Linked DNA regions of Pelodiscus sinensis. The protein of the gene in region 2 interacts with the protein of the main gene of each other region in a pairwise test. Links are inferred from orthologs where the notes say so. Each region holds a gene or a part of one and is shown on either strand. Other genes may lie near its edges. The genes, in order: PALS1, LIN7A, MPP2 and PALS2.

Region 1 (7,414 bases), on a different chromosome or scaffold from region 2:
AAGCCCACTGCTTCTTGTTCTATCCTCAGAGGCCAAGATTTCTCCCTCCTCCTTATGACACCCTTTTAGATATCTGAAAACTGCTATCATGTCCCCCCTCAATCTTCTCTTTTCTAAACTAAACAAACTGATTGTTTCATATAAGCCGAGGAAAATTTTTAAGTATGCCTAAGTGAAAGTTACTAGCATTTATATTCCCATTGCCTAATATTCTTGACAATGAAACAATCTCCGAAATTATTTTGGCTGAGCTACTGTGCCATATTTATTAAGCTTGACCTCAAAAGTTTAAATAATGGGAAACACCTTTCTTTATAGAGAAAAAACAGCTTTCATCTCTAAGTTTGACAGCAGTTCATGGATTTAACACATTTTTATTTAAATGTTTTAAGAAATAATTTAAGCCTTGGTGTATTTTGCATTGAATTAATATTCCATTTGAAAACAAAGTAAAAAAATATAAAAATCCATTTTTTAAATTATTTAATCAAAATATTTTTAAAACCATTTATATTTACCCACCATGATTTCAGGTGTGCCACATGATGCCCCTTAAAGAGGTCCGATTTTAAGAAAGCGTGGTACATCCACCCTCTGAAAAAAAGCAGACCTTTAAAGTGTCTGAAGTTGCATACACTACAATTGAGGCACTGAAAAATTACTAGTCACTTTTGAAAACCTTGGTTGATGTTCCCAAAGCAGGAGTAACCAAGATGAAATAGCACCATCGCCAGAAACACATTAAATACTAGAACTGTACAAAAATGAATTATGAAGGATTGCAGTTTTGCATTTTCATTCCTAATGGAAGGAGACTGCCATGTCCAAGTCACTATGTAATGCTTTTCAAGAAGCCAGCCAACAAGAACAGTGTCTCAGGAAGATATTTCACTTGTATTCAAAGATTTTTCAATTGTATCAGCTATGTATGAGACACACCTGCTTATCAGAGTTCAGGACAAATTCACAAAGGAGCTCCAATGTGTAACAAAGGCAAAAAAATTGCCCTAGCTACACTGCTCAGGGCTATGAAAAACTTGAGCCCTGTTCAATGTAAGAAGTAGACATAATCACCAGTGTAGACACCACTAGGTTAACAAAAGAATTTTTTTGTTAACCTATCTACAATCGACAGACCATGGTTCAACAACAGGAAAGCTGCAGCACCATAGCTGTGCCATTGTGGAATAGGCATACCCTAAAATCAAAATCAGTAAGAACAGGCAGTTGCAATGCATTCAGATTCAAGATCTTTGACTACCACTCTGACTCTTATCATTCCAGAATTGCTTTACTAGGCTCCAAACAAAAGATTGCCTAGAACATTACATAATGCAATAAAAAGGGACACATGCTTTTACTTCAGAGGTCAAATAAAAAAAATATATAAAAAAATGTTGAGAGCATTTAACAAAGTATTTCCTCAAAGATTTTGGTTATCTTTGGTGACCCTTCAACAAACTGATTTTTAAATTTATCATAAAAATGCACTTGATTTAAAAACTATATAGTATTCATTGTGCATTTAATAGAACTTAAGGATTTACTTGCAATTTTAGTTTAGTTCTAAGCCTCTGCAACAACTTGAAAAATTCACATAAGCATGAACAAAACATTGTCAGTGGGTTCTGGTTTAACAATTAGAAAATATATTTAGAGATACAATAAAATTGCTCATTAACTAGTGCTTTTAAACAATAGTAGTCTCCCTGCTTCAAAGGCACCATTAGGTATGAAATCCAACATTTGCTTCCATCACAGAATTCAAAACTATTGTAACTCACATTTTGAAACTTACATTTTGATGGCTCATTTTAAAATTAAATTGGATATTACAATTTCTCTCACATCCCTGTCATTTGTTTTTATAACCAGATTTTCCTACCTTTAAAAAAATATTACTCTTGTTGACTGGAAACCCACACAAACAGGAAGCAAAAATGAACAGTTTCATCCTTCACTCCCATCTCTTTCAGCTATGTAGCTTTAGTAATTTTGTAAACAAACAAACAAAAAAACCATCTGTATATTCAAAACAGTGAGGATACCTTGTAAGTGACTGATTTGGGTAGAGTTTCTACTTGCTGTCAGCTTTCTAATAAAATCAGCAAGCTGTATTTTGCCACTCTTTCTAAAGTAATATCTCTGGGACAGGAACTGTCTTCCTTGTTGCTTAGGTGTACACTTCCTACTCTGATCCGTCGATTAGCGAGATCCGAAACGTTACCGTAACAGTCTCATCAGTGTAATTCACTGATATTTAGTCAATAGTTTGATCAATGCCTACTGGGCAACCTTGAATGTGTTGGTTGCCAAGCCACTTTAATTTAATCCTGCAAAGCCCCATAAATCTCTACCGAGCAATCTCTTCACAGTAAGATTTCCAAACGCTGGCTTGCCCAACAGATGATGAAGTACGTACAGACCATTATTAAAATAAATACATTCAGAAAGTAAAAGACAACACTCAACACGGGGAGCCTTATTAACGCACCTTTAAAGGCTGAAACTTGCAATGGTTGCACCGGCGAGCAAGCCTTATGTTGGCAAACGCTGCACGATCGGGCCCCTAGTGCGTACAGGGAAGGTGGCGGATACGCAAACGGCAAGGCCCCCCCAGATACACGCACCCCCCCCCCCCCCCGACTGCACAGACACGGGTCACTCCGCAGCTCCGCTGGGACCCTACCAAAGTTCACGAGGAAGGGGGGGAGCAAAATCCGCCCCGCGCCCGCCTCCCGTCCTGGGAAATCCCGAGGCGCAGCAGCAGCAGCGGGGGCTGGGACCAGAGCTCCCCCCGGAACCCAACGCCCCTACCACCCCCCCCAGGGGGAGTCGATCACAAAGTGGGGGGCGGACTCACCTGCCTACTCCTGCTGCCGCCGCTCCGCACGGACGCGCCCAGCAGCGCCTTGTTCTACACCCCTCGCGCCCAGCCCGGAGACACCGGAGACAGCCCCGTCTCGCTCACCCCGCGGAGCTGCGCAGCCGCCCCAGCCACATACCAGGAGACAAACACCTCACGGCAGCGCCCGATCCACCCCCCCAGCCGTGGCCCCACCCCAACGGCCGGCCGCACGCACGCGCCCCGCCCGCCTTCTGCAGACGCACGTCTCTATTGGCTGGAGGGGCTGAGCGCTTGGGGTGCGCGCGCCCGCTTGCTGCCCAGGCGGCTGAGGGACTGGTGCTCGCTGCGGAGGGGCTCGGGGGCGGGGAGGGGTGCGTAGCTCTTCGGCCTACAGCTCCTTCAGCAACGGGCCGCCGGTTGAATTGTCCTTTGCTTTGTCCCTCGCGCCTGCTGCAGGGTTTCGTGCCCCTGCGTCATGCCTCTGCTGCCGCCTGCGTCGTGTTCAGTGGAGCTGGTGAGAAGGGCAGAGTAGCCACAAGCTACGACTCACGGATGATTGTGAGAGACTCCTGCGCAAGGCTGTCTGTGGGACCGGAGCCGCTGGTTAGCTAACACCCACAGTTATACCCCAGCGTGGTCGCCAACCAGCCCAGCCCAAGCCCTGACGGGACAAAGACCAATAAATAAATAAATAAATAAATAAAAGTTCCGACACCAGTTAGTCGAGCACTTTGGCAGCCAGAAGGAAGGGGATACTCTCAAGAGGAGATGACCATTAGTCAGAGAAAGGAGGCACCAGATTATAGGCCAGTGAGGACGTACCAGTTTTGCAGACAGGCACTACCGTTAGAATCCAGCTAATAGAGAAACCCCAGAAGGAAGGGACTAGTGAAGTTGGAAGAGATGCAATGGCACCCAGGTTATGCAAGAGGGACAAGTGCAGGAGACAGTCATGAGCCAGTAGAGGCAACACTCAGATCCCTGTGGATCAGAGAGAACCATCCAGTGGCCAACCTCATAGAGAGGAAGAAGAATGGACTGAGAGACAGTTTGCTACAGCCAGAAACAAGTGACAAAGAGATAGAGATGGGTCACTTATGCTATGGTAACCTATTGAGACTAGATTATCTAAGAGACTACTTAACAAGTGAAGACAAGACTGCAGTTTGGCTATGTGCAGCAATCCCAGGCCAAAAGGACACTGGGTGAGTGCTTGGGCTTCAATTATTTGTTTTAATATTTATATTAAAATATTTGAAAAAAAAGGGAAGATATATCACGATCAATGTATTTTCAGTCAGAAGACCATGTTCCCTGCAGGGACTGTTCTTTGTAGATATCATAAAAGGGATCCAGGCAGCAACTGAGCCACATAGTCAAATCAGTCCACAGGGTTAAATCCATGGCTACGTCTAGACTGGCATAATTTTCCGCAAACGCTTTTAACGGAAAAGTTTTCCGTTAAAAGCATTTGTGGAAAAGAGCATCTAGATTGGCACGGACACTTTTCCGCAAAAAGTGCTTTTTTTGCGGAAAAGCATCCGTGCCAATCTAGACGCACTTTTGCGCAAAAAAGCCCTGATCGCCATTTTTGCGATCGGGGCTTTTTTGCGGAAAACAAAGCTGAGCTGTCAGTGCTTTTGCGGAAATTCAAGCGGCCAGTGTAGACAGCTGGCAAGTTTTTCCGGAAAAGCAGCTGATTTTCCGGAAAAACTGGCCAGTCTAGACACAGCCCATGTGTTCAGTTTAACATGTATTAAGAACAGCCATACAGGGTCAGACTAAAGATCCATCTAGCCCAGTGTTCTGTCTTCCAACAGTGGCCAATATCAGGTACAAATTGGGACTGAACAGAACAGGGACTCTTCAAGTGATCGATCTCCTGTTACCCATTTCCAGCCTCTGACCAACAGTGTTAGACATCATTCCTACCCATCCTGGCTAATAAGTATTAATAGACGTATCCTCCATGAATTTATCTAATTCTTATTTGAACTGTGCTAAAGTCCTTCTCAACATCCTCTGGCAAGGATTTCCACAGGTTGTATGCTGCATCAAGAAATACTTCCTTTGTTTGTTTAAACTTGTTACCTATTAATTTCATTCGGTGACCCCTAGTTCTTATGTTATTGGAGCAAGTAAATAACTTTTCCTTATTCAATTTCTAAACTTAACAAAAACTACTAGCTTTCAAGTAAAAGCAAAACCAACACATTCTTCTCCTATCCCCCATCCCAGTTTTATGTAAGAAAGTGTAAGCTAGCTCTACACTACAATCTCTGATGAGCTGTGATTTGTGATGGGCATGCCTGTGCTGGCAAGAGTACTTAGTATAGACACAGTTATACTGGCAAAACTAAACAGCTTGGCTGTGTCTAGACTGGCCACTTTTCCGGAAAAACTTGCCAGCTGTCTACACTGGCCACTTGAACTTCCGCAAAAGCACTGACGATCTCATGTAAGATTGTCAGTGTTTTTGCGGAAATACTATGCTGCTCCCGTTCGCGCAAAAGTCTTTTTCTGAAAAACTTTTGCGCAAAAGGGCCAGTGTAGACAGCAGAGATTTGTTTTCTGCAAAAAAGTCCCGATCGCGAAAATGGCGATCGGGGCTTTTTTGCGCAAAAGTGCATCTAGATTGCAGAAAAGCATCCGTGGCCAAAAAGTGCTTTTGCGGAAAAGCATCCTGCCAATCTAAACGCGCTTTTCCGAAAAGGCTTTTAACTGAAAACTTTTCCGTTAAAAGCATTTGCGGAAAATCATGCCAGTCTAGACGTAGCCCTTTACTCTTTGCTAATTTAACACTCCTCATTTTTCCTCTATTAACTAATGTATTGGACTGTTTCCCTTTTCCACTCTCAATAAAGAGATGAGTGTCTAAATAAGATTTGGGACAGAAGGGGCACATTATCTTATAATCTTCATATCTTGAGAGTTAGGATAGTGATTAGATAGGAGGTACCAAGGTAGAGGGTGGCTCAGGACACAGTAATGTCAGCAAATGTTTCTTGGACCACCAAAAAAAAAAAAAATCAGCAGACACCTGCCCCTTTAAATCTTTTCTCCTTTGCTGCATGTTCACTGAATGCTTTGTGTAATTTTTCATATAGATGTCCAGCCACTTTTTAGTCTCTTGCCTATACTTACACATTCTGTCCATATTTTCCATGTATGTTTTTTTTCTGAAACCTATATACTCCAGTGTGTCTTCAGATTCAAACCTCTTTTTCGTTTCTTGGCATATAAACTGGCCAGCTAATCCTCCATTAATATGGACCCTGCCAAACAGCGTGTGCACCTTTCCACAGAAGGATTAATAAGCTCTAGTTTCTAGCCTTTTTACATTGTAGATTTTGAGTGCCTTTAAGGCTATGCTCTACCAGTTTGTGTTCCATTTTTTGTTCTGCCATATGTTATAGCTGCACACCAAACCAAGCATTTTCACTTTGATTAGTAGCAGGAGTGCGAGTATCAAATGAAGGGGAAAGGGAAGGCATTTGGAGAATAATGGAATCCAAATTCAGGCTGACTGCAGAACTACTCTGCATTCTTTACAGACAGGGGGAGTAGCAGACTGAGGGTGACCAGTTATGGCAGAGTAGGAAAAGAGGTGGACGTTTCTGCTGGCCTTTTATGATCTAGATCCACATTTTTACAAGCACTACTGGCAGCTATTGTAAGAATCCACAAATTACTTTCTTAAACCCAGATGCTTGCATGAAAGTTGCACAATGGCTAACTGTCTACGTTTAGCAATAAAACACTGCTTACTGGATGCAGAGACTCCATCCTCCCTTAAATCAGAGTCATCCAGCTTGATCACTGTCTTTTGTATCCAAGATTTACACAGGGAGGTCCTATGAGCCCACAAATATGCAGAAGTTCAGCCTTCTGTCTGTGTAGTTCTTCTAGATGGCAGGCATCTTCTTCTTGATGCTGTCCAAGAGCAGGTTCAGTGAGTGTATAGTACACAGCTTTTCACTAAGCAGTCAAATGTGTACACCAGCCTCCAACTTTGTTTTTGTCTTTTCTCTTCCTATAATTATATCTAAGGCTACGTCTACACTGGCCCCTTTTCCGGAAGGGGCATGTAAATTTCATGAGTGGTAGTAGGGAAATGCGCGGGGGATTTAAATATCCCCCGCGGCATTTAAATAAAAATGTCCGTCGCTTTTTTCCGGCTTTTAAAAAAGCCGGAAAAGAGTGTCTACACTGGCCCCGATCCTCCGGAAAAAGTGCCCTTTTCCAGAGGCTCTTATTCCTACGTTGAAGTAGGAATAAGATCCTCCGGAAAAGGGCACTTTTTCCAGAGGATCGGGGCCAGTGTAGACGCTCTTTTCCGGCTTTTTTAAAAGCCGGAAAAAAGCGACGGACATTTTTATTTAAATGCCGCGGGGGATATTTAAATCCCCCGCGCATTTCCCTACTACGACTCATGAAATTTACATGCCCCTTCCGGAAAAGGGGCCAGTGTAGACGTAGCCTTATAAGTGTTTTGATTCTCTGCCTGTATGGATTAGCAGACCATGTTAATTCTGAGATATGTAAGTCTCCAGATATCTAGTGGAA
Region 2 (7,779 bases):
AGGCAACTGTGTCCACATAGAAAAAGTGGTCTTCACTGGGACATGAATATTTCATATATATTTCTTTGCCTTGTTGCATGAAATCACCTTGTGAGATGAATTCTGCATCTCAATGACATTAACTGTGAGTCCTGTTAGGAGTCACTAGAATTGATGAATGACCTCACTTAATTTTCATTTTCTTCAGCCACAGGAAGACATTTTGGCCCTTAACTTTCACCTCTACAAAAGTGGTAGGCACAAGTCCCCAGCCCATATCAAGTGGAATCTTAATAATGATTAATGCAGAGAACGAAAATTAATGAAGAGAATGAGATTTTAAAAACCCAATAGTTTTAACAATATACAGGAATTCAATGGGATCATAATATTGAAATACTAATAATTCTCTTTGAACAGCCATGCATGCTAGTGGATCACCATCTGTTCAATCCTTTACCAAGAAATAGACTTGTCCTGCTTAATGCAAACAATATTGGGATGAAACTGTACATTACACAGTAGATTTCTAAGAACTTTGTAGAAACATGTATTCTCCTTAATTTACTGCATGACAGTAATTTATTTCAGGAATAACTTCATTTTGTTCTGTCTTTTGTCTGAGTATCTTTTTCAAAAATCCACCTAACTCACAGTAAAGTTGTGATCGGCACCACAAAAACTGCTATGCTCTCAAATTGCTTCCAGCAAAATAATGTTAGTGTCCTCTAAATTAAAATCTCATACTGAGTTTATCAGGTTTCTTTTTCATTGAATGTACAGCAGGAAGCTCCCCATCTTAATCTTCTAAATAGAGTATTTTTAAAACCAAGGCACTGGCCTAAATCATTCTCTACAAAGTTAAGGATTTACAAATTGCTTGGGGGCTCAGACACACAAGATACGGATTAGAAAGAAAAATGTTCTAACACTTAGGGAGTTCTGTCCAGACAGCATGTTTGATCTCTCTTAAACTAGAACCCAGAAAGAAGAAAAAGCCATGCAAATAATTATAACTAAGCAAGTTATTTTCCCCTCTCTAATAACCAAATACCCCTAGGGTTACAAATGGACTTTCAATGGCATCAGTTTGGAAATCATTTCCTATTGTTGCCTGATCAGATTGGGTAGGAGGTCTAATTTTACTGCCTTGTGGCAGAAGTTTAATTTTAGCATAGCTTCAAGCTTTCTGTACCCCCTCTTAATCTCTTTTGTAATGGTCTATACAAAAAGAAGGATAAAAAGGTGCTGCTGTCACAGTCTGGTGGGTGGAAAAGACTGATCAGTGTTGTCATCAATACCAGGAGCAACTAGCTGTCTGCAGGAATAGGTTCACAAGCTACTCTATCTGAAAGCAGTATTAATAGTAGCAAATATGGCAAATTTCAGTTCGCTCACATTTCCCTCACTCCCTCCCCCCCCCCCCCCCCCCGCGGCAAAAAAAATCAGATTTTTTTCACCCAGCTGAGTGTTTCTTCTGCTAGTGCAGGAGCCCTTTTCTTCGTGGTTCAGCTATGAAAAAGTGAAGCCACCACAAAGCTATTTATTAGAAACGTCTCTATATGCCAGCAACTCCACCGCTATACTTGAGAACCTAGTAGAGGGACATTCTCGGAAGCCACGCACGCTAGAGATGCTAGGACAGCAAAATGCTGTACTGGAGAGCAAGTTAGCAGAGACAAGGTAGCGAAGAACCGATGCTTAAGAGCAAAGCGAGATCCTAGAGCTACACAGAGTAACAGCCGAGAGATCTCGGTGTTACACTACACTAACCAGCAGCACCACCCTGGAGTTGCAATGTACTAAGCCCCTTCCTCCTGGTACTGGACCGATCCGTGCTTCTGCTGCCTCCTCAGGGTGCCAGCCCGACCCCAGCCCCCCAAGCCCTTCTCCCACTGGAAGAAAGTTTGGTCTCTTTGCTTCCCTCCCTGCCCTTCCACCTTACAGCCACCTGCAGTCTGAACTGCCAGGGGAGGCAGCGCCCCCCATTCCCGCTGCCCTGTTCTCCCGCAGCCGGCACCAAAGCAACTCCAGCGGCGGCTTCCACACCGAGCACCCGGGCCAGCGGCTCCCGAAGCTTTGGCGGCTCCCCGCGGGCTAGGGTGTGCGACAGGCAGGGGCTGCCCGGCGGCAGCCAGGAGCGGGCTGTGCCGGCCGGGGACGGGTCTCCAGGAGACACCAGCCTCTTCCCGGCAGCCTAGCGGCGGTCTCGCTCCGGGCGCCGGGCAGCCCTGCCCGAGCCGCTCCCCGCGGCGGCAGCTCGCTTACCTCTGTCCAATGTGAGCGGCTGCACCGCTGCGAGCGTCGCCATGTCTGCGGCTGCAGCCGGAGTGAGGCTCTGCTCCGGCGGCGTGCGGGGGAAGGAGGAGGAGGAGACAGGGAGGGCGCTGAGGCGGTGGGTGGCGCTGGGGCGGGGAGGGGGCTAGTGCGTGGCCAGGGATGCTGGAGGCTGCCCGGAGGCGCGGGGCGCTAGCCACATGTAGCTAGGCGGGGCGAGCTCCGCCCCGGCCCGAGGTGCGTGTGCAGCCGCTGGCTGGCTCCCCCCAGCGCCTTGCTGAGGGCGTCCAGATGTGCGCGGCAGCTTGGGCCGTGCTCCCTGCCCGCGGCTCTCCCCACCCTCCCGCCGGGGCAGGGGCGAGCCCATCGGGCCTCCCGCAGCCCTGGCCTTAGGGAACTCTGATTGCACAGCCCCGGGGGAAAACCCCGACTAGCTGGAGCTGTAGCAATGGCGCGGGAGTGGGAGCCAGGCTCAAGCCCCCGGGGAGGGAAGACACGCCGGATGGCGGCTGGCAGAGCTGGGGAGTGGGGGAGGAGGCAGACTTCAGATGCTACCCGAAATGTAGCCTCCCCTTCTGCCGTCCTGTGGCGCCAGCGGCGGGGTGGGCTCAGAGAGAGGGCAGGGCAAGGAGTGGCTGGGAGGAGAACTCTGCAGCTGGTTGCCCTGAGCGTGGGGGGAAGGGGAAAGGATGCTGCTGATAGACAGTGTAATGGGGTATGAATTGGAGGGCACCGTAGCCCTTGTGCCCCAGAGAAGGAGGGAGATTTCTCCAGCAGCAGGAAACAGCCCCTTCTAATTGGGTGTTCTTTAACTTGTGTGGCTCCAGCACTATCCTTATCTGTAAAATGGGGAACTAAGGCAAAAAGACTAAGTAGCATGCCGAAGCTTGCATGGAGGCGGTACACAATGACAGGAAGGAAGCCAGATTTCCTGAGTCCCAGTCCAGTGCTCTAGATACAAGCCTAGCCCTTACCCTGACTGTGCAGTCATGCAGTGGTTGATTTTCTCATTTTTACTTACTCCATGGAAGTTTGCCAGGTTAGATGTCAGTCCTGGACAATATAGTTTTGTAATCTTGGAAGGAAAATGGCTCAGCCATTCTTGGAAATGAAAAAAAAATCCAATACAAAATAAGTTCTGCAACTGGTTTTGTTTTAAATCAGCTTTCATGCCTCAGTGGCTTGAGGTAGAAGATGGCATTTGGCAGAGAAAGTGTCCCAAAGTCATAGATGTGGTTTTGGTCATCTGATGCTGACTGTGATTTGTGAAAGCTGGAAAGATTTGTAAACAGGCTCATGGATATTTTTATTGTGCTCTCTTAATAACTTCCTAGGCCAGAGGTTCTCAGACTTCATTGCACCACAATCCCTTTCTGACAATAAAAACTACTTCATGACTCCAAGACTCAGGGGTGGATGAAAGTTTTGTGGGGCCTAGGGCGCGGGACCTATTGAAGCGTGGGGTCTGGGGCAGCCACCCCGCTCACCCTGCCCTATATCTGCTGCTGCCAAGGCTATGTCTACACTGGTGGGTTCTTGCACAAGAATGGCCATTTTTCTGCAGAGCATCCACACTACCTGCCCGCTCTTGCACAAGAAGATTTACAGTAAAGCGTGGTAAGAGAGGGCTTCTTGCGCAAGAGCTACGCTCTTTTCTAACAGGTATAATCCCTGTGGGCACAGGGCAAGGGTTTCTTGTGCAAGAAAGCCCTATGGCTAAAATGGCCATCACAGCTTTCTTGTGCAAGAGAGTGTTCACACTGCCATAGACACTTGTGCAAAAGCACATGGAAGTGTGGACATGTTCTTGTGCAAGAGTTCTTGCACAAGAACCCTTGCGCAAGATGTTGTTGCGCAAGAACCCATCAGTATAGACATAGCCCAAGGTTATGTCTACACTGGCGGTTTCTTGCGCAAGAACATCTTGCGCAAGGGTTCTTGTGCCAGAAGTCTTGCGCAAGAACACGTCCACGCTGCCCTGTGCGAGCTGTGCTTTTGTGCAAGAGTGCCCATGGCCGTGTGGACTCTCTCTTCCGGAAGAAAGCTCTGATGGCTATTTTAGCCACAGGGTTTCTTGCACAAGAAATCCCTGCCGAGCATCCACACTGCCCTCTTGCGCAAGAGCTCCTGCGCAAGAGGGCTTATACCTGATAAAAAAGAGAGTCGTGCTTGCGCAAGACACCCTCTCTTACCATGCTGTACTGTAAATTTCCTTGCGCAAGAGCAGGTGGGCTGTGTGGATGCTCTGCAGATTCTTGCGCAAGCACAGCTGTTCTTGCGCAAGAAGCCACGAGTGTAGACATAGCCCAAGAGTGGGAGCCAATGCCTAAGCCTACCCAAATCCCCATCATCTGGGCCAGTGGGCCAAAGCCCAAGCCAGGGCTGGGTGCAAAACTGAAACAAAGGGCTTCAGCCCCAGGCTTGTGCTTTGGCTTTAGCCCCCAGCAGGTATAATGTCAGACCTGGCAACTCAATCAAAATAGGGTTGTCAGTCCACCCACTTTGGGGTCCAGACCCACAGTTTAAAAACTTGAACTACGTAAACCAAAGGGAGTCCAGCTATCTTCCTTCTGAGGAATAAAAGTGTATAGATAGAGAGCTAATGAACCGCTGCAGCCTGCCATCTGAAAGATGCAGTGGTAAAAAAAGGTTTGCATGAAATGAGACAAGGCCTGCTTCCTCACTGATTGCTCTGCTGTGCATTATGCGCATTTTGCTGTTGTTCAGTACATATTCATAGGGCCAGTCGGGGGGAAGAGGGAGAGGCAGGAAGGCCATTTGGTCTGGGCCTCAAGTTCAAAGGGGACCTCAAATTTAGACACTTGTAAAAAATTGTTAGCATTTGATAAGTATCAGATCAAAATGTGACAGTCTCTCAGCTTAAAGTTGCAAATTTAAGCAAATAAGAGATGTGAAAAGGCCAGAAAAGCATTTGCTAAATAAAAAAATCAAATTATGTTTCACTCTTTTTGGTGCCTTATTTTTTTCATGTGCGTCATAGCGCTTTCTTGCACAATTTGTCTAGGGACCTCAAAAGCTGGAAGTGGCCTGGGACTCTCCAAATCTCTGAGAGAGCCTGTATACTTAAACATGGTGGGATTTTTGTTTCTATATTTTCTCTTTAAAATATACAAGATAAACTGTACTAAAGAAATTGCATTACAAAAATGTTACAGACGCAAAGTGAAATTTTGGGAGTTCAAACAAAGAATTCAATTAAAATTTAAGTAATAAAGGAACATTTGAATATTTTTCCACACTTGAATATTTTACCACAAATTTTGTATGTTTTATAATCAGGTGAGTGTAAGAGAATACACTTAACTTAGAAAGATGAGTTAAAAAATAAAAACTCCTCGTGTGTAATAAATATAGTAGTCAAATCAGTTTGGCTGTGTTGACAAGAAAATGTTTTAATTGGCTAAAATGCTGAAATTTGAAAATCAGTTACTGCCAGGCAGTCAATTATCTTAACCTAAATTAACATAAAGATTTTTATTATGTAGATTTTATGTATTTGCATAGCAGCTGGATTGACATAAAATGAAACAGCTCCTTTTAAGCAGTCACATTAGTATATATGGGATTCATTGCCTTAAACTGAGAAGAATGTACACATTTGGAGCTATAACAGACTAATGTGACAACTCTCAAACTGTTATGACACTTTTAAAAAGCCTATTATGGGAAGTATGTTTAAATAATATTAAAATCACACTGCCAAGCTAATTAAGCAATCAAGTTGTTTTTTCCCTGTACGTTTTCAGAATTCTTCAGACTCTTTTTAAACTGACAAATTAAAAGCAGACATTTTAAAACAAAATACATATATAAAATTGTGTGGCCTGTTAATAAATGACTAATAGACATGTCACATGGATAAGTTACTAAGATCCAGCTCTAAAAAAAGAAAAAAAAAAGTAGTACTCAAGTTTAAGAGCAATCACATTCGGAAAGAGGTGCTTTCTACAGGCTAAATCGTAGGGCAACTTTGTGCCTCTTTTGAGTGCCCTTTTGTGACTACTATTAGATTAACAGGTCAGATGTTCCACGCCATGCAGGGTTAAACCTGATCAATACTTGAATGGAGACTTCCACAGATCTTGGCTTTTCCTTGGAACTTGTTGCTGAGGCACTATATGACATCTTCAGATTTTGATCCAGGGTTCTATTTCTCATCAAACTTCACTTTGGGTTGTTATAGTCTGCCTATCTAAATTCTTCCTGTAGTTTCAGTTGGCTATTGTACTCTTCATTTCATGTCACATTCTGTAATATTTACCATGTGTTCCATCCCAGGAATTTCAACCATGGAGAAATTGATTGCTTCACAATATAACACCAGTTTTAATCTCCTCATCTCCTTTTTATAAAGCAAAGAAAATGTTGTGTGTGCTTCCAGTCCTCTCAAAAACAACTTGATAATTCTAGAGACAGAATTCCACTTCCTCAGGAAATTTTGCAGCAAGGTCAGCTGTAGCATTGGTGTGTCTTCATTGGAGCCTGGTCATTCTAGCTTTCTGCATGGAACTCTTCGCTTCAGTGGAAACTCTATACGCATAGGGGTTTGCAAGATGATGTGTGGAGTTTGTAAAATGGATCCTTTGGGATTTAAAGCACATTATCGGCCTTTGCTTTAAATACTCTTGCTGACATTGGCTTAGGTCACAACACACCATAGTATTTCAATGAAAATATAGGATGCTAGGACTATTATGCAGGGCCTGCTAGTGCCTTTTTTCTTTATAACTCAGTCATAAACATTTGTTTTGGAATGAATTCTGGCATACAGTGAGAGTGGGAGAAAGGACCCTCTTTCTCTTTATTTAATCAGACCAGTTCCACATTGTTTCTGTAAAGTATTTGAAATTTGGTTTATGGTGCAGTTTGCTTATTGGGCAGAGAATTGCATCTTTCTTCCAGAGGGACTTTTGGGGGATTCTAAAATAAAAAAGATGCAAATTGGTGCTTTTGGTAATAATTATACATGTTACTAGCACGCGTGGAACATTCTGCACTGGGACGGTCATCCACTGTTAAATATTATTCCAATTAGATTGGGATCTTGAGACATAGTCCTCAACTGCTTCTAGTGCTGCATTAGTTATATCCTGGAGTCACTTTTAAGTTCCATTCGAACATATGACATAGTTTCAAAAAACTGCTTTTTAAAAAACTCCAGACAAGCTCAAATTTAACAAATGGTGTTTTAAAATGCTAAACTCCAATTGTCTACAGTGAAAATAGGACTGAGCTTTTGTGCTCTGGGAGCATCACTGTTGACTTCAATTAATGTGTGGGGGCAAATCATTAACGCATAATTTATAGTCAACGTTGGATAGGTTTTATAGCAGCTGACACTGATGCTTTTGAAAGTATTTAAGTTAAATTAGTTATTTTATGACTTTTGAGCTCAGTGAATACACTTTGCGCACACATGCTATACTGCCTACTTTTTAAATATTCAAACTATGATTGATGCGAGCTTTAAACCTACGTCTCCCAAGCATCAGCATAATGAGC
Region 3 (7,542 bases), on a different chromosome or scaffold from region 2:
AAGCCAGGGCCCCTACAGATCCAGCCTCCATCTCTCAGCCAAAACCTGCCAGCTCCTGCCAGCCGCATCCCCCTACCCCTTTAAGGGGAGGCAGCGGGGCTCAGGGCCCCTCACCCCCTACCGCGGACGCGTTCCTGACCCAGCCCTCCAGCCCATCCACGTCACCTCATGGGGGAGCATTCAGCACGGCCGGGCACCCTGCCCACACTCCAAGCCAGGGCGCCCCCGTCTGAATGGCCCAACCCCACCGCTCCCAGTGCGGAAGTCAGGTCGTTAGTTTCCCGCGGCCTCTCACTGCCTCAGCATCCCTGGGGGATTATCCTCCTAGCCCCTTCCACAAGGGGAGCGGAGACAGAGCTGGCCAGGACTCTGAAAGGTTCGCCAGTCGCTGTTAGGCACCGACAGTCCTTTACAAATCTGGCCCTACGTGACTAGCCCAAGGCCACGCAGAGTCTGTAGCAGAGACACAAGGCTCCCGTCTCTCAGGTCAGAGCGCTAACCACTGAGCCCTCCTCGTACTTGGGCTCTTGTCCCCTCCGTTCCCCACCAGCTACTCCTCCGGGGCAAGGAGCAAACGAGCTCTCAGGCGCAAGGCCAGCCCCATCCAACGGGCTTACAAAGCTCCGGGGGTCCTTTCCCATCTCCCCGCTCATTAGCCATGCGCCCGCCAAGCCAGCCAGCCAATCCAAGGGACAAGGCGGTGAAAGACCAAGGGAACTGGTGCTCTGTTACGGGGCAATCTCACAGCTCTGCCTCCTTCTAGCACCGTGGTGTCCAGCACGCCAGCCACTAGCCACATGTGGCTATTTGGCCAGTTGAGTGTGGCTAGTTCGCTATAGCAGTTGCCACTTGCTTCAAAACTGGATGGACACCGCAGTTCTAGGAGGAGGGGTAGCTCAGTAGCCTGCTAAACCCAGGATTGTGAGTTCAATCCTTGCAGAGGCCACTTGGGGCAAAAGTTTGTCAGGGATGGTACTTGGTCCTGCTGTGAAGGCAGGGAACTGGACTCCATGACCCTTCAAGGTCCCTTCCAGCTCTAGGAGACAGGCAATCTCCATTGATTTAGGCCATAGGGACGGGATTGGTCAAACCAGCTGATTCTCACATCCAAGAGCTCCTCTGAGTGCAAACTTGGCAGCCTGGACAGTCTCCAGTGGGCAGCTACCCAAGAGGCATGGGCACAGACTGAGGGTGCCTTGTGCCCCCAAAGCCATGCAGAGGATGGGTGACATTTCCCAATTCCAGCCCGGACGGGGCATTTCTTACCCAAGTCGGAGCTGGTGGCAGCCACAGGCATCTTGGCAGCTGGGGAGTCAGCTGGTGAGGGCTCCTCTGAACCAGCACACACACACAGGGATCTGCAAAGAGAGGAAAGGCTGAAAGTCAGACACTCAGAGGGGCAGGGGAGGGCGCAGAGCTGGCCAGGGGGGACACAGGACACCAAGGAAAAATTTTAGCAAGGGACTCTTCCCCATAAAGTCAGGGAGCCTGTAGCCCAGGGTGCAGGCAGTCTAACTCTGACTGTGCCCCTGCTGGGGGCATGCAGGTCCTGGCCGGATTCCTGGCCCATCAGGGCCCAGGGAGGAACGCCATCCTACCGCCGGAGGAGAGGGAGGGAGAGAGAAAGAGATGGCCCGTAGGGACCAGCTGCCCATGTTCAGAGCCACACTCAGCCCTTCCCCCTGGGGACCTCGGCGCATCATCTCCATGCGCAGGAGGCCGGGAGAGGCTGATGGAACTGGGCTTTGTGCTCAGGAGGGAGGGATGTTTGCAGCGTGAGTCTGGAGCAGGAGCAGCGGGGCGCTCCCACCACCACACCCGCCCCCTCACGCCTACGCCGTCCTCTACAGCGCCCCCTGCTGGGAGCGCCTGGGACTGCAGTGCTTGGGAGCACCCTGCACCCACAGCCAGCTCCCCAGCACCATGCCCCCCCCACCCACACAGCGCCCCCTACTGGGAGAGCCTGGGACTGGAGTGCTTGGGAGCACCTTGCACCCACAGCCAGCTCCCCAGCACCATGCCCCCCCCCCACACACAGCACCCCCTACTGGGAGAGCCTGGGACTGGAGTGCTTGGGAGCACCCTGCACCCACAGCCAGCTCTCCAACACCATACCCCCCCCCACACACACAGCACCCCCTACTGGGAGAGCCTGGGACTACAGTGCTTGGGAGCACCCTGCACCCACAGCCAGCTCCCCAGCACCATGCCCCCCCCCACACACACAGCACCCCCTACTGGGAGAGCCTGGGACTGCAGTGCTTGGGAGCACCTTGCACCCACAGCCAGCTCCCCAGCACCATGCCCCCCCCCACACACACAGCACCCCCTACTGAGAGAGCCTGGGACTGGAGTGCTTGGGAGCACCTTGCACACACAGCCAGCTCCCCGGCACCATGCCCCCCCCCACACACAGCACACACACAGCACCCCCTGCTGGGAGAGCCTAGGACTACAGTGCTTGGGAGCACCCTGCACCCACAGCCAGCTCTCCAGCATCATCCCCCCCCCACAGTGCTCCCTGCTGGGAGAGGACAGGAACTTTATCTGTAGTTGTTTCCCTATAATCCTGCGGGGGGGGGGGGGGGGGGGGAGTGGAATTACTACTGGAATGGCATTAACCCCTGCAGTGCTGGAGGGAGCACATGCCCTGAAAGGCCCACAGCCGTGCCGGCCTCCTGGGACTGGAGAACTCAAGAGGGCACCAAAGAATCCAGTTGGCTCAGGACCCTGGCGCAGGCAGCCCTAGATGAGGCCTCGCCTACCCAGCGCCCCCTCATGGCAGCGAAGAGCTGGGGCCCATCGCCCATGTCCCGCCAGGCGGCCGGACACAGACCCTGTGATGCTCTCGCCTCTCCCCGAACCCGGGCCCCACGCCAGCAGCTGCAGAAGGGACAGTTGGCACCCAGTAGCTGCCGGGCCCCGGAGCCAGGAGCCATCCCAGGCCTGCATCCTCTCAGGCCTCACTGCTCAGAGGAAACTGGGCCTCCGACAAGCTGCCAGTAGGAAGGGGATGCTAATTCCCTGGTTGCCATGGCAACACTGGAGCGGGAGAACAATAAGGAAGCAGTGGGAGCCCCCGCCTCTCCCCCCAGCCCACAGCAGCTGTCAGGGATCTGAGCTGGTGGGGGAGCAGAGGGGAGGCAGATCCGGATGGGAGGCAGCGAGGCGGCCAGTGGGCCCTTCCACCAGCCCAGGACCTATCAGGGATGTACATTTTGATCTAAACAGCTAACCGGTTCGACAACCAGTTAAACGATAACTGGCGGGGTCAGGGCAACTGGGGTGGGGGTCTTATTGGATCCGGGTCTGGGACGGCTGCAGCAGGGGCTGCTCTGACCCCACAGGCTGGAGGCTACTCCAGCCCCACTGCTGCCAGCGTCCTGCCAGCCAGGCCGCTATGGGCAGAGGCTGCTCCCATGGGCCAGGCCCACCAGTTAACCAGTTACCCCCCTAAGGATGCTGGTAAGACACGTGGTTACCGGCTCACGAGTTAACCATTTAACCGGTATCCCGAGCGTCTATAGCGCTATGAGATGCTGCAGGGCATCCCCAGCTCTGCCCCTGCCAAGAGGCCCCTCTTGAGAGGCCCGTAGGTGGCCCAAAATAGCCGGAGCCAAGTGTGAACCGGCCAACCCGCTTCCCTTCCACCCAGGGGCAAAGCAGGCCCACCCAACCCGCCCCTGCTGCTGCGGGGGGTTCTGAAAAGGCTGGTTTGCCCGGCCTTGGCGCCCCTGTGTGCTGGGGGCAGGCCTCCAGGCGCAGCAGGCCCCTGCACTGATGGTCTGTGAACTCCTCAGAGCAGAGACCCAGCATCCATTTCTGACCTGATGCAGCGACAGGCCCCCAGATCAGCTTCCCCCCCCAGCCCCTGGCTTCGAAAGGCCCCAGGGCTGACGTAACCCCTCCCCAAAGCCACATGGGCGCCACGTTCCCAAGGGAAGCAGGCTGCTTGCATGTCCCCAGCCAGCCTCTCTGCTGGGGTCCGGCTGTCAGGCCCTACACCCCTCCAGCCAGCCTGCCCCCACTCTTGGGAATCTAATGGGCTGCACGTGAAATGAACACGCCTGGTCTCAGCTTAGCAGCTGCCGGAGCATCGGTTTCATTCCTTTGGGGCCAAGCAACAATGAGTCACATGGGGTGGGGGGAACTTGCCTTTCCCTGCTCCGTGCGGCAGGAGTTAACCTCACCGGCCCATTCCCAAATCCAGACACCTGAGCTCTGGGCAGGTGCCTTGGGAATGTTCCCTGGAAGCGCATGGGTCTCCCCCAAGGAACTCAGTGGAGTGAATGGGGCAGAAGCCGGTGTCAGGCAGAAGGCCATGCTGAGCTGGTGGCGCTGTGCCCGTGCCAATCTGGACTCGGCACTGGACCAGGCTGGTCCGATCACCCAGCCACCTCTCTGCTGGGCCCAGCAGCCCTAACAGTGCAAACCGGGCTGCCCTCTGTGGGGTGATCCTGACTCCGAGGGCAGCGTGAGCGGAGGACAGGGGATGCTCCCATGGGGAGAGGTGAGATGTAGCTGAAGGGTCCGTTTGAGCCATTCACTGCTAGAGACAGAGCAGCCATCAGGCGGCTGCCCCCCTATCTTGGTTGGAACTTGGGGGAGGGTCCCATGTGGCTCCATCCCTGGCTGTGAGGGGCGCAGCCGGGAGAATCCCGAGGGATTAGCAGGGAATCTCCAGACCCTGTTGGGACCGGGTGTCGCACACTCCAAGCCAGGCCTGGGAAGGAAGGCTAGGACAGCCTGATCAGAGGACGTTCGCCTGCCCCCAGCGAAGGCTGCCGGGGCTGCTTGATTGCAGAACGGTGTCTCACAGCCCCAGCCCAAGACCTGGCACAGACACCACCCGCAAGGAGGCCTGAGTAGCTGCGAAGGTTCCTGGATCTGGTTGAGCCCAGAGGCCGACAGCCCTGGGGTGGGGATGGGCCCATGTAGCCCCATCCTACCGCCCTAGGATGTGCCGCCTGCCCCCAGCTGTGGCTGGGCGGACACCTGCCACGCTCAGTCCCCCGCAGCGAGGATCCTGGTACGAGCCCTGCTGGGCAGATCCTGGAGCTCCGTTGTGAGCCCTGGTGCGCTCAGCCGGCTGCCAGCGTGACATGTGGCAGAGTGCCGGGTGCCCGGCTTCTGAGTTTCGAGGTGAGGCGTGAACCCACCTGCAGCGGATCCTCATTCCCGGGGGAAGCGCTTTGACACAAAGCAGCCCCCTCCTCCGCGCCACAGCAGCGTGCCCCCGCGCCAGCCCCTGCAGGGGACGCGGACGTGGCACCACCGTGTGCAGAGCAGAGGGTGGGGGGGAAGACCCAGCACACACGGCCTCTAGCAACAGCTCATGGAGCAGGAGACAGTAACACGGCCGGGGGAGTTCTAGTTCTAGCAGGTCACCTCCTGTTCCCTGGCTCCACTGGTGAGCCCGCAGGTCAGGAGTCCCTGCCAGGCCCCAGGAAGATGTGCGCCCCAAGGGGTGAACCAAGGAAGGGGAGCCAGGACTCCTGGGCCCCCAGCACCACTCTGCCATTGACACGTGTCCTCCGTTTCTAGCATTGTTTCTCTCCTTGGTCACCAATTCGCACTGGCCAGCCGCTGCCTTCACAAGTCCCCTTTGACCAGGACTGACAGTCTGACTCCACGGTGGTCTCCTCTGCCCACCCCCAGGCATTCCCCCGCCAACTCTGATCCAAGCAGCACCCGGTGGCGACAGAGGGACCCTGTCTCCAAGCTCAGTGCTCTCTGATCCGGCACCAGAGTCTGGGGAGAACCCGCCATTCTCGGGACACTAAGTCCCTGCCACGCCATGCCGAGATCCTGTGCACAGGGTGAATGACAGTCCGGTCTGGCAGCTCTCTGCTACCCGCCTCTCATCGTGTCCCTTTTCTTTCATCCCTTCCCCCTCCCCCCCTACACCCTTCTGCCCCTACCAGAGTGCAGGGGGCAGAGGGTTCTCCCTGGCAGGTGCTCAGCAGTGGTCCCAGGATACCAGAGCCAAGGTGGGCGAGGGAACCTCTCCTCTGGGCCCGCTTGGGTTGGTGGAAAGCGACACAGAACCCTTCTGCCGGGCAGACGTACAGCGAGAGAAACAAAGCGGCCGATTGAGCCGGGCCCAGATGGGCAGCCGGGCTGAATCCCGCCATTCTTCAGCAGCGGCGCTAGGCAGTGAGTGTCTGTGTGTAAACGTGTCATGCTTGGGGAGGGCGACCCGCATGAGCTCATCCCTAAAAACACGGCCCCTCCTCCCATCTGCCCGCGCCCGGGGACTTGCCCTCTCCTGGCACATTCCCAATCCCCAGCGCCCGCGCCTGGCAGCTGCCGCTTCGCTCCACGGGACTGGACCATGATGTGAGACCCACCAAGCCCCCGGCTCCAGCATGGGGGGGCAAACGAGACCTATTAGACCAGCCCCGTCCCATTCAGAAAGCGCCTGGGTTCAGTCTTACGTAACAACGTGTTGCTCTTCGCCATGCCGGAGGCGCAGACCCGGGAGCCCAAAGGAGCATCCTGAACTGGGGAGGGATCAGCTCGGAAGTGAAGCACCAGCCAAGGGCACAGAGGGAAGAGGAGCCATTTAGACCCCTCCCCCCAAAAAACCCAACAAATGACAGCGAGGAGGCCCTCGGGGGCAGGAATTCTGCAGCCCAAAGCCCGAGACAGGGCTCAACTCCTGCCAGGGCTAAGCCCCAGGCCCAAGCCCCAGGCCCTCCGGGCTGGGCAGTTCCCGGCCCCTCCGGGCTGGGCCGCTCCTGGCCCCGGGGCCCTTCGGGCTGGGCCGCTCCCGGCCCCTCCGGGCTGGGCCGCTCCTGGCCCCGGGGCCCTCCGGGCTGGGCAGTTCCCGGCCCCCCAGGCTGGTCCGCTCCCGGCCCCGGGGCCCTTCGGGCTGGGCAGTTCCCGGCCCCCCAGGCTGGTCCGCTCCCGGCCCCGGGGCCCTCCGGGCTGGGCAGTTCCTGGCCCCTCCGGGCTGGGCAGTTCCTGGCCCCGGGGCCCTCCGGGCTGGTCCGCTCCCGGCCCCCCAGGCTCCTCTGGTCTGGGCAGCTCGTGGGCCGGGCCCCTTTTGCTGCAGCGGTTCTGAGTGTAAAACCTGGGCGTGACGCGGCCGCTCCCGGCAGGGAAGGAAGCCCGGGGCAGCGGACCGGGGCGGGGAAGGGGCGCAGCCCGGGCGGCCGGAGGGAGGCGGCAGGTTCCAAACTGAGCAGTCCAAGGGGCTCCCCGCAGCTGGGGGGGGTCGATCCAGCTGCGGGGCTGCGCAGACGGAGGCGCAAGCGGCGCGTTACTGCTGCGGGCGGCCGGCCGGCGGGGGGAGGGGCTCTTACCTGCCCGCGCTTGGCGCAAGCCCCCTGCGCTCTCGGTGCGCGGCGGGTCGCGCTGTTCCGGCTGCGCTCGCTGGCCAAGCCCCGCGCTGCCTCCGGGGCTCTTAAAGCAGCAACGCCCCTGGGGAGGGGCTGGCTGGGCCCCACCCGCGGCGCAGGCAGCCCCCTGGGCCTCCGCTTACACCCGGGTTTGCGCGGGGGCGGCCCGGGCTGTGCCACCAGCGTGGGAATGACCGGC
Region 4 (7,467 bases), on a different chromosome or scaffold from region 2:
ATTTGTTCTGTATTGTGGCAGACAACACACTAGTGCCACTCACAACCATTTGTTTGCATTTCTCTCATTCAATCTATAGGACACAAGCCTTTTGATGTTGTACGTGTGTATAGAAGGAAAAAAATCCATGCTCCATGTACACTCCAACTGCTGTTGCAATAATTAAAAATGTTAAGGCTACATAGTTAACATTGTCACTCAAATATCAAAGAAACTTGCTTCTCTGCTTGTAGGATTAGATAAATACATATATTATTTTAAATGAACAAGCCTATGTAGAGAGGCAATGGGATGGAGCAAAATGAACTGGTCATACTGGTTCTATACGAATAACCATGTAAATCCACAGATCTGCTTTATATCCGCAGCTCATTTTTGCAGAATGGATGTCCATACAAAATTTGTATCCATGCAGGGCTCAAGCTATACCCAGCTCTAACACTTTGTTGTGTAACCTTGGTTAAGACATGTCTCTGCATCCCTGTGTATCCTCATGCGCCTCATCTATCTTGTCTATTTATGTTGCCAGACCTTTGGGCCAGGAACAATCTTACTCTGAGTTTGTTCAGTGCCTCGCACTATGAGGATGTAATCTCAGTTGAATATTGATTGTCCCATGCCACCAACAGAACAAAAGCTTCAGGTGATTAGTCCATCATTTAAGATTAATTGCTTCTGCTGTTTGCAAAAAAAATAATAATTTAAAAAAGTAATTTTCATCTAAAGAAGATCTACTGCACATATGCTGCAACAGCTTTTCAATCATTTCAGAGTTTTTTGGTACGCACAGTCCACAAGTATAGCAACAGAACAAATACAGTTCTGAAGAAGCTGCTATGGTCTAACAATAACCTTTGTTATATTGTTCTTAAGAAACTGAAACTGCAGTGATCTGTAGGATCTGCAACCTATGAAAGCACACTGAATTCAAAGGAGTTAAAAGATCAATACAGTCAATAAGCTATTGGGAGAAGGAATAATATTTGATTTTCAAATAGAGTGGAGCCAGTCCCTGTTAAAATAGAGCCATGGAAATCCAAAGCCAAGACTAACGTTCTAGTCTTATTCATGACATTGTGCCTTGACACTGCAGACATCTCTAAGCAATGCATGATCTCAGGAAATCTATGCTTATGTGGTGCAATACCCAGCCTCAAGCATGAAATGAAGACTGAGGATGGCTCTCTGCCTTCAACATTTGTGTTTGTCAGTCTGATCTTTTCTCAAGAGCATTTTAAGATTTTCAAAGTATATGAAAGAGTAGTCAAACCAGGTACCAAAAAATATCAAGTTCCTCTATGGCATTCCTAAACAGAGCTTGGTGACAGTGTTAAAAGGCAACCACTACAGTGGAACTAAAAGGAAACATTATTACACCACTGACAACCAAGCAGTTTGACACTGTGTTCATAACTAACACACACAAAATTTGTTCAAAGCCTACTCCAGACATCTATTTATAGCCAGTCAGTCCCTCTCGAATTCCACCCCCCCAGGAAAGTCAAGGGAAGTTTAACAGATGTAATCCTGGGCCCTAAACTGCACAACTGAGGGGAAACTGGAATTCTCACCCAAAGATTACCATGTACAGCAGCAACTGGGCATAGAGATGTGTAGTCAGACTCAAGTGGAAGCCACACAAAGGATTACCCTTATCCCTACATTATTAAGCAAACTTGTTTCAATGGTGTTAATGCAGCATCAGTCCATACACATACACTGGGGACAGTGCAAGATGTTTAGCCCCTTCACCAGTCATCAACTGCCTTAAATAAGTATTCTGCTCAGATGTGACCCTGCACAAGAGCAATGTCATTGATGTTGCTTCTTGTTCATGTTACTGTTTGATAGGTATTTTTATGAACTGAAGACTACGTATTTTCTCTAGAGACGCGAACCAACAATAAAGGACTGAATAGGAGACTCCATAACCCAATAAGAAGGTGTGTGCGCATACATGGAGCATAATGCCAGACAGCTGGCTTCTCTCACACCAGCAGCACCAAGCGCATTAAGGTTTTGGTGAAGCTAGATCTTCCTCCTGGCGCACATGCTGCAGCCCTACCTTTACCATGTATCCCCCTACTCTCCCCCCCCCGCCGCCCAGATTTCCCTCAGCCTGTAGTAAGAATACAAAACGTAGTGGCATGACAGCCCTGTGGCTATTACAACCCACCCTCCTGCAACATCAAACCACCTTCTCCCCCCCCCCCCTCCATCTCAATGCGGATTGCAGCAGGGAGGGGAGATAATTCCTCGAGGAAGGAAGAAGCCGAGCAGGGGCAGCTCGGGAATAATCCCGCAGGGTGGGATGATAATCCCTGGGAGGAGCCGCGCGGGGATGAGATGGGGGCGAAAGGAGGCAGCAATGGGGGGCGGGAGGGGACTAACCCCGCTCGGGGAGAACGGAGCGGGAAGGGATAGTCTTCAGGAGACGAGAGGCTGCAGATAACCCAGAGCGGCCAGGAAATCGCTGGGGTCACGGTAGCGGCGAGCGGTCAGTCCGCACCGAGGGGGCAAACCCCGGCTCCAGCGCCACCATGTTCCCCCGCAGGTATGTGGCTCAGGGCGGGCCTGCGTGCGGGCGGCTCACACACGGGGCGGCTCGACCCCCGCCCCCAGGAGGCAAAGGAGCCTCCTCGCAGCGCCGAGGCCAGCTGGCCCCCACTCGTCACAGCCTCCCGAGCAGCGGGCCGCAGGGTCTCCGCAGAGAAGCCAGAACAGCAACAGTTCCTCCCTGCCCCCCGCGCCTGGGAGAAGCCCAGTCCAGCGTCCCGCACCAACCCCGCCGCGTGACGGGGGGGGCACTCACCGGCTGGCCCCGGCGCCCTCGCTCCGGCTCCTCCTCAGCGAGCGCAGCGCAGCCCCATCGACACACGCGACTGCCCGGGGTCCTCGGAAAGCCGAGGCAGCGCCTGCCGCCTCTCGTGCTCCCCCGTTCCTCCCTCGCGGCGCGCGCGGCCGCAGCCACTATGGCGCGCGAGCGCTACCCGGAGCAGCGGTTGCGCTTCTGCCGAGCGCCCAACGAGCTGCTCTAGCCAGAGAGCGCGAGCGCGCCCCCTCCCGCCAGGCAGGCCCCGCCCCTTTAACTCTTCGGAGCCCGCGTGCCTGGGCCGCCCGCCCCCTCTGCGTGCTCCGCTTGGCGAGCCGGCTCGCTTCGCACTGCGGTGCCGGCAGCTGGTTAAGCGAGCGTCCTGTGCGCAGGCCTGGCCCCTTTAAGGGGAGAGGGTGGATGCTGCCCAGTGGCCGCTGGCGTCTGGCCCGGCTGGGGGCGGCTTGGCTCGGGGGGTGGCGGCAGAGCCACGCCCCTCATTAGGTCGTACAAAAACCTGCTGTGAAGCCCGCTCGGCGTGGCTCATTCGTCCTCGGTTCTGCCTGCCTCCCTGGGCGGGTGGGGACGTCCTGTAAAGCCGTTGGGATCAATGAGGGTTACACCAGGGACTGGTTCGGCCCCATGAGTGGGCTCAGATGTGGTTAGTCGCCTAGTCCCTTGACTTAGGGTTTAACAGACGCTCTTCAAAGGTTCAAACAAACGGGAGCCCGGTGGCACCTTAAAACCTAATGGCTACGTCTAGACTGGCATGATTTTCTGCAAATGCTTTTAACGGAAAACTTTTCCATTAAAAGCATTTGCAGAAAAGAGTATCTAAATTGGCACAGATGCTTTTCCGCAAAAGCACTTTTTGTGGAAAAGTGTCTGTGCCAATCTAGACGTGCTTTTGCGCAAGAAAGTCCTGATTGCCATTTTTGCGATCGGGGCTTTTTTGCGCAAAACAAATCTGAGCTGTCTACACTGGCCCTTTTGCACATAAGGACTTTTGCCCGAACAGGAGCATCATAGTATTTCCGCAAGAAGCACTGATTTCTTACATGAGATTGTCAGTGTTCTTGCGGAAATTCAAGCGGCCAGTATAGACAGCTAGCAAGTTTTTCCGCAAAAGCAGCTGCTTTTGCGGAAAAACTTGCCAGTCTAGACACAGCCACCAGATTTATTTGGGCATCAGTCTTCCTTGGCAAAGACCCACGTTGTCAGATACATTGGAGTGGAAATGACGGGGCTAGGCCTAAATATACTAGCAGATGAAAAGAAAGGTGGGGGCTAGTACTACCTAGGGATGTAAGGCTGTGTCTACATTGGCATGATTTGCTGTCTGTCTACATTGGCCACTTGAATTTCCGCAAGAACACTGATGATTTCATGTAAGAAATCAGTACTTCTTGCGGAAATACTATGCTGCTTCCGTTCGGGCAAAACTTTTCAGTTAAAAGCATTGCGGAAGATCATGCCAGTCTAGACATAGCCTAAGAGTGTAACCATTTAAATGAGTAACCAATAAGCTGATGCTTTTCAGTTACCCAAATGGCTATACTTGGCTCCCAGTCCAGCTCATTAGATTATAGTATATTTTATTGATGTAACTTTGTCACCAGAGGTTTCAACTTGGATGGGAAATACTTTGGTGGAAGTCCTGGCTCTTCTGAAGTCAGAGTTCACCATTAACTTCACAGGTGCTAATTGGGCCAATTAGTCAAGGTGGGTGTGGTGGCCCACTCCCAACAGTTGATGAGAAAGTGTATAAACCCAGAGAAAATTGCTCTTTTCTGGTTGTTGTCTCCCACTGGCTTGTTTGAGCAGCTCTTTGTCTAGTATGTTTGGTTTTCTGGCTCCCCTTCTAAGGTCTGGATCTTTGCCCATTGTTGCATAGGGCAGTATTTCTCAACCAGTGTTAGGAGTACCTTAGGTACTTGAGAGAAGTCTGGGGCATAGGTCAACACAACTGAAATTTGGAATTGAATTTTTATTTTAAGTTTTACAGTGCTTTATTATTTTTGTACTTTTACAACCAAAAATATAATTGCCTGTCTGGCTACAATTAAGTTGTTTAAACAAATGTGTTGCAATGGTAGAAAAAAAATGTCTGAAAACTGTAGGTAGTGGGGGTACTTAATTTTTTTTTTTAAAAAGGGGGTACTTTGTGTGTGTGTGTGTGTGTGTGTGTGTGTGTGTGTGTGTGTGTGTGTGTGTTTAAAAAAAAAAAGGTTGAGAAACACTGGCCTAGGAGAGTGTAGGTGCCAAATGCAGACTTTGTGAAAAACTGTATTCCTCCAATTTTTCTAATGCTTAAAAGTTAGGCACTGTGGTGTGCAGCACTGCAGTGCCTCAGGTCCTTTGTGGATTCCAGTCACTAGGTTTAGCTACCCAGTGAGAGGCACTGGCAAAGCGACATTTGAAAATCTAATTTTCCCCTCAGCATTTCCCCTCAGCATTTAGTCATTGTTTACTTTTTTGCATTTTAGTTGGTTTGAACAGTGACATAGACTAATGGCACATTTGTTTATAGTCAGTACCACAGAAATGTTCACATTTAGGCTCTCATGGTCTAACCCATTGCTGCCCCACTGCAAACACTGAACCTATTTATATCATTAGGTTACATATGCCAGCAAAACTCCAATTGCAGCCAGTGGGAGTGTTAGGTGTATAAAAGGGAAGAATTAGTCCCAATGCAAGAAAATATTTAAATCTAAAATAAAAAATCCCAAACTAGTTTTATTCAATTTTTTAAATCTGATACTCTGTAAAACCATTTTTAAAATTGAACATACATTTTGGACTTAATCTGATTATGCCACTTTAAGAAAACCAGATAGAGTGATGAACACATGATCACTTTGAATAATGGTTCAATGGGGGACACACATGCTGGCTCTTGCAGTGGAAGCAATAAGTGGAAGGAGGAATATGAGCTTGCACAGTCAGAGCAATATGGGGTAGAGTTCATTTGGAAAAAAATTGGCTAGATATTGATTTTCATTTAACAGATTGGCATTGTGCTTTATCAGTAGATAACAAACAATCTGGCTTTTATACAGCCAGAAGAGTCAAAGGAAGCAATCCAAACAGTGAGCCCAGCAAAAGCAACTGAAGTAGAAGCCAGCACCTTAAAAATCTTTTTCAAATTAACAAGTAAATGATTTTGCCATTGTAAATGTGGTATTAGTTTAGGAGGCCAGGCTGTAAAATTCTTTCTATAATTATTTACTATTTGAATTACAGTTGCAACCAATGCCTCCAATTAGAGGTGAATCATTGTCCTGGGAGCTGTACAAACACATGGAATGATGTGATCCGTGCCACAAAGACCTTACAGTCCTCTCACCACTTCTCAGCAAAAAAGATTGGGAGCATAAACAGGGCTTAAAGAAACTTTTGCCCCTCACCCTTCCATCTTGCATAAGTAATATTGGGCTAGATTGGAAATTACAGCTGTAAAAAGTTGTGGACTCAGTCCTCTGTGCTAAGGACTGACTGACCTCATCCCTGCCTCTTCTGAGGGTATGGAGCCATCTTCCCAACTCCACCTTGCCATGGGGTCCATAGTATCTGGTGGCCCTGCTGGGTGTGGAGGCAGACTGGAGGGTGAAGCTGGCCAGGAAGGAAGGGAGGTGGTTGGGGTCTTCAGTGTGTGGCTGGGAGTATGGGATCCGGGCATGAAAGTGGCTTCCAGATGCTCCCGTTAACTGCAATTGGCCATTGGGAGCAGCAAGGAAAGCCTCCAGGCTGAGGATAATAAATCATCTCTTTATTGTGTCCAGTGCTCAGATGCTCAGTACCCTTTAAACAAAATGAAAGAGAATAAGGTTGCTAGTGCTGTGGTAACTTTCTGTTGGTGTTTCTATAATAATATAATTTACCTAATACCCTGGGAATTTGGGCAAAAGAAAAGGCATATGCACTTATAGGAGGAATGCACCTCTTGCTTCTATCTTTGGGCCAAATTCTGTTCTGGTCCATGTAATTCCATCACAGTCAATACTTATTATAACTACCAATTTAGCGGAGAGATCTTGTTTTAAAACAGCTTGCCCTCCAATAAAATGTTCCCTATGTATAATCCAGTCGTGAGGTTGAATTGTTAAAGTTAGGGACTAAGCATCAGAATACTCTTTGGATATGTTCCCAATCTGTTCACTGACTCACTGTGCAACCAGTGTAAATACTGTAATTTTTGTGCTTCTGTTTACATTTCTGTAGTATGGATATAATTAGCAAATGTACCCGGCATTGTTTGGGTCTTTAACTGAAGGGAAATTTTTTTTTTTTTTGAAAAATAAATGAAAAATATACATGCTTTATTTCAAAGTTTATATTTTTCAGAAATGAAGGTTAGAGTGAGAGTTTGAGGGTTAGGGGGGTAGGGGGTGGATGGCTTAGGACAGAGGGTTGGGAAGTGGAGGGCTCGGGGAAGGGTGCAAAAGTCAAGGCAGGTGGGAGGTGCAGGACTCGGCAAGGAGCTCAGGACAGGGGACTGAGAAGGAGGGGCTTACTAGGGCCGCTTGGCGGCAAGGGTGGCACTTCTGCAGCAGCAACTTCTCCTAGGGGGCAGGGGCAGTGCTCCCTGCCAGCGGTCCCCCCTCCCCCTCTGCAGTTCCCTTCTCCTGCAGGCTGTCTGGGGAAAACCAGGC

The links.
Region 1: the proteins of LIN7A (region 2) and PALS1 interact in binary tests that used the Homo sapiens proteins (3 or more experiments, as listed by UniProt). The two-hybrid records come from large-scale screens. The link is inferred for Pelodiscus sinensis from reciprocal best matches to the Homo sapiens genes LIN7A and PALS1.
Region 3: the proteins of LIN7A (region 2) and MPP2 interact in binary tests that used the Homo sapiens proteins (3 or more experiments, as listed by UniProt). The two-hybrid records come from large-scale screens. The link is inferred for Pelodiscus sinensis from reciprocal best matches to the Homo sapiens genes LIN7A and MPP2.
Region 4: the proteins of LIN7A (region 2) and PALS2 interact in binary tests that used the Homo sapiens proteins (3 or more experiments, as listed by UniProt). The link is inferred for Pelodiscus sinensis from reciprocal best matches to the Homo sapiens genes LIN7A and PALS2.

What each region holds. Positions count from the first base shown.
Region 1 is NC_134714.1:72,830,356-72,837,769, forward strand, and holds the start of PALS1 (protein PALS1), read right to left. Parts: upstream 3,017-7,414; 5' UTR 2,864-3,016; intron 2,614-2,863; exon of another isoform or gene 2,495-2,613; intron 595-2,494; exon of another isoform or gene 523-594; intron 1-522. UniProt on the Homo sapiens protein: Plays a role in tight junction biogenesis and in the establishment of cell polarity in epithelial cells.
Region 2 is NC_134711.1:71,565,788-71,573,566, forward strand, and holds the start of LIN7A (protein lin-7 homolog A), read right to left. Parts: upstream 3,006-7,779; 5' UTR 2,291-3,005; coding exon 2,248-2,290; intron 1-2,247. UniProt on the Homo sapiens protein: Plays a role in establishing and maintaining the asymmetric distribution of channels and receptors at the plasma membrane of polarized cells.
Region 3 is NW_027466028.1:232,495-240,036, forward strand, and holds the start of MPP2 (MAGUK p55 subfamily member 2), read right to left. Parts: upstream 3,015-7,542; 5' UTR 2,953-3,014; coding exon 2,837-2,952; intron 2,787-2,836; exon of another isoform or gene 2,766-2,786; intron 1,359-2,765; coding exon 1,267-1,358; intron 1-1,266. UniProt on the Homo sapiens protein: Postsynaptic MAGUK scaffold protein that links CADM1 cell adhesion molecules to core components of the postsynaptic density. In CA1 pyramidal neurons, required for synaptic KCNN2-containing channel function and long-term potentiation expression.
Region 4 is NC_134712.1:198,413,948-198,421,414, forward strand, and holds the start of PALS2 (protein PALS2), read right to left. Parts: upstream 3,015-7,467; 5' UTR 2,813-3,014; intron 1-2,812.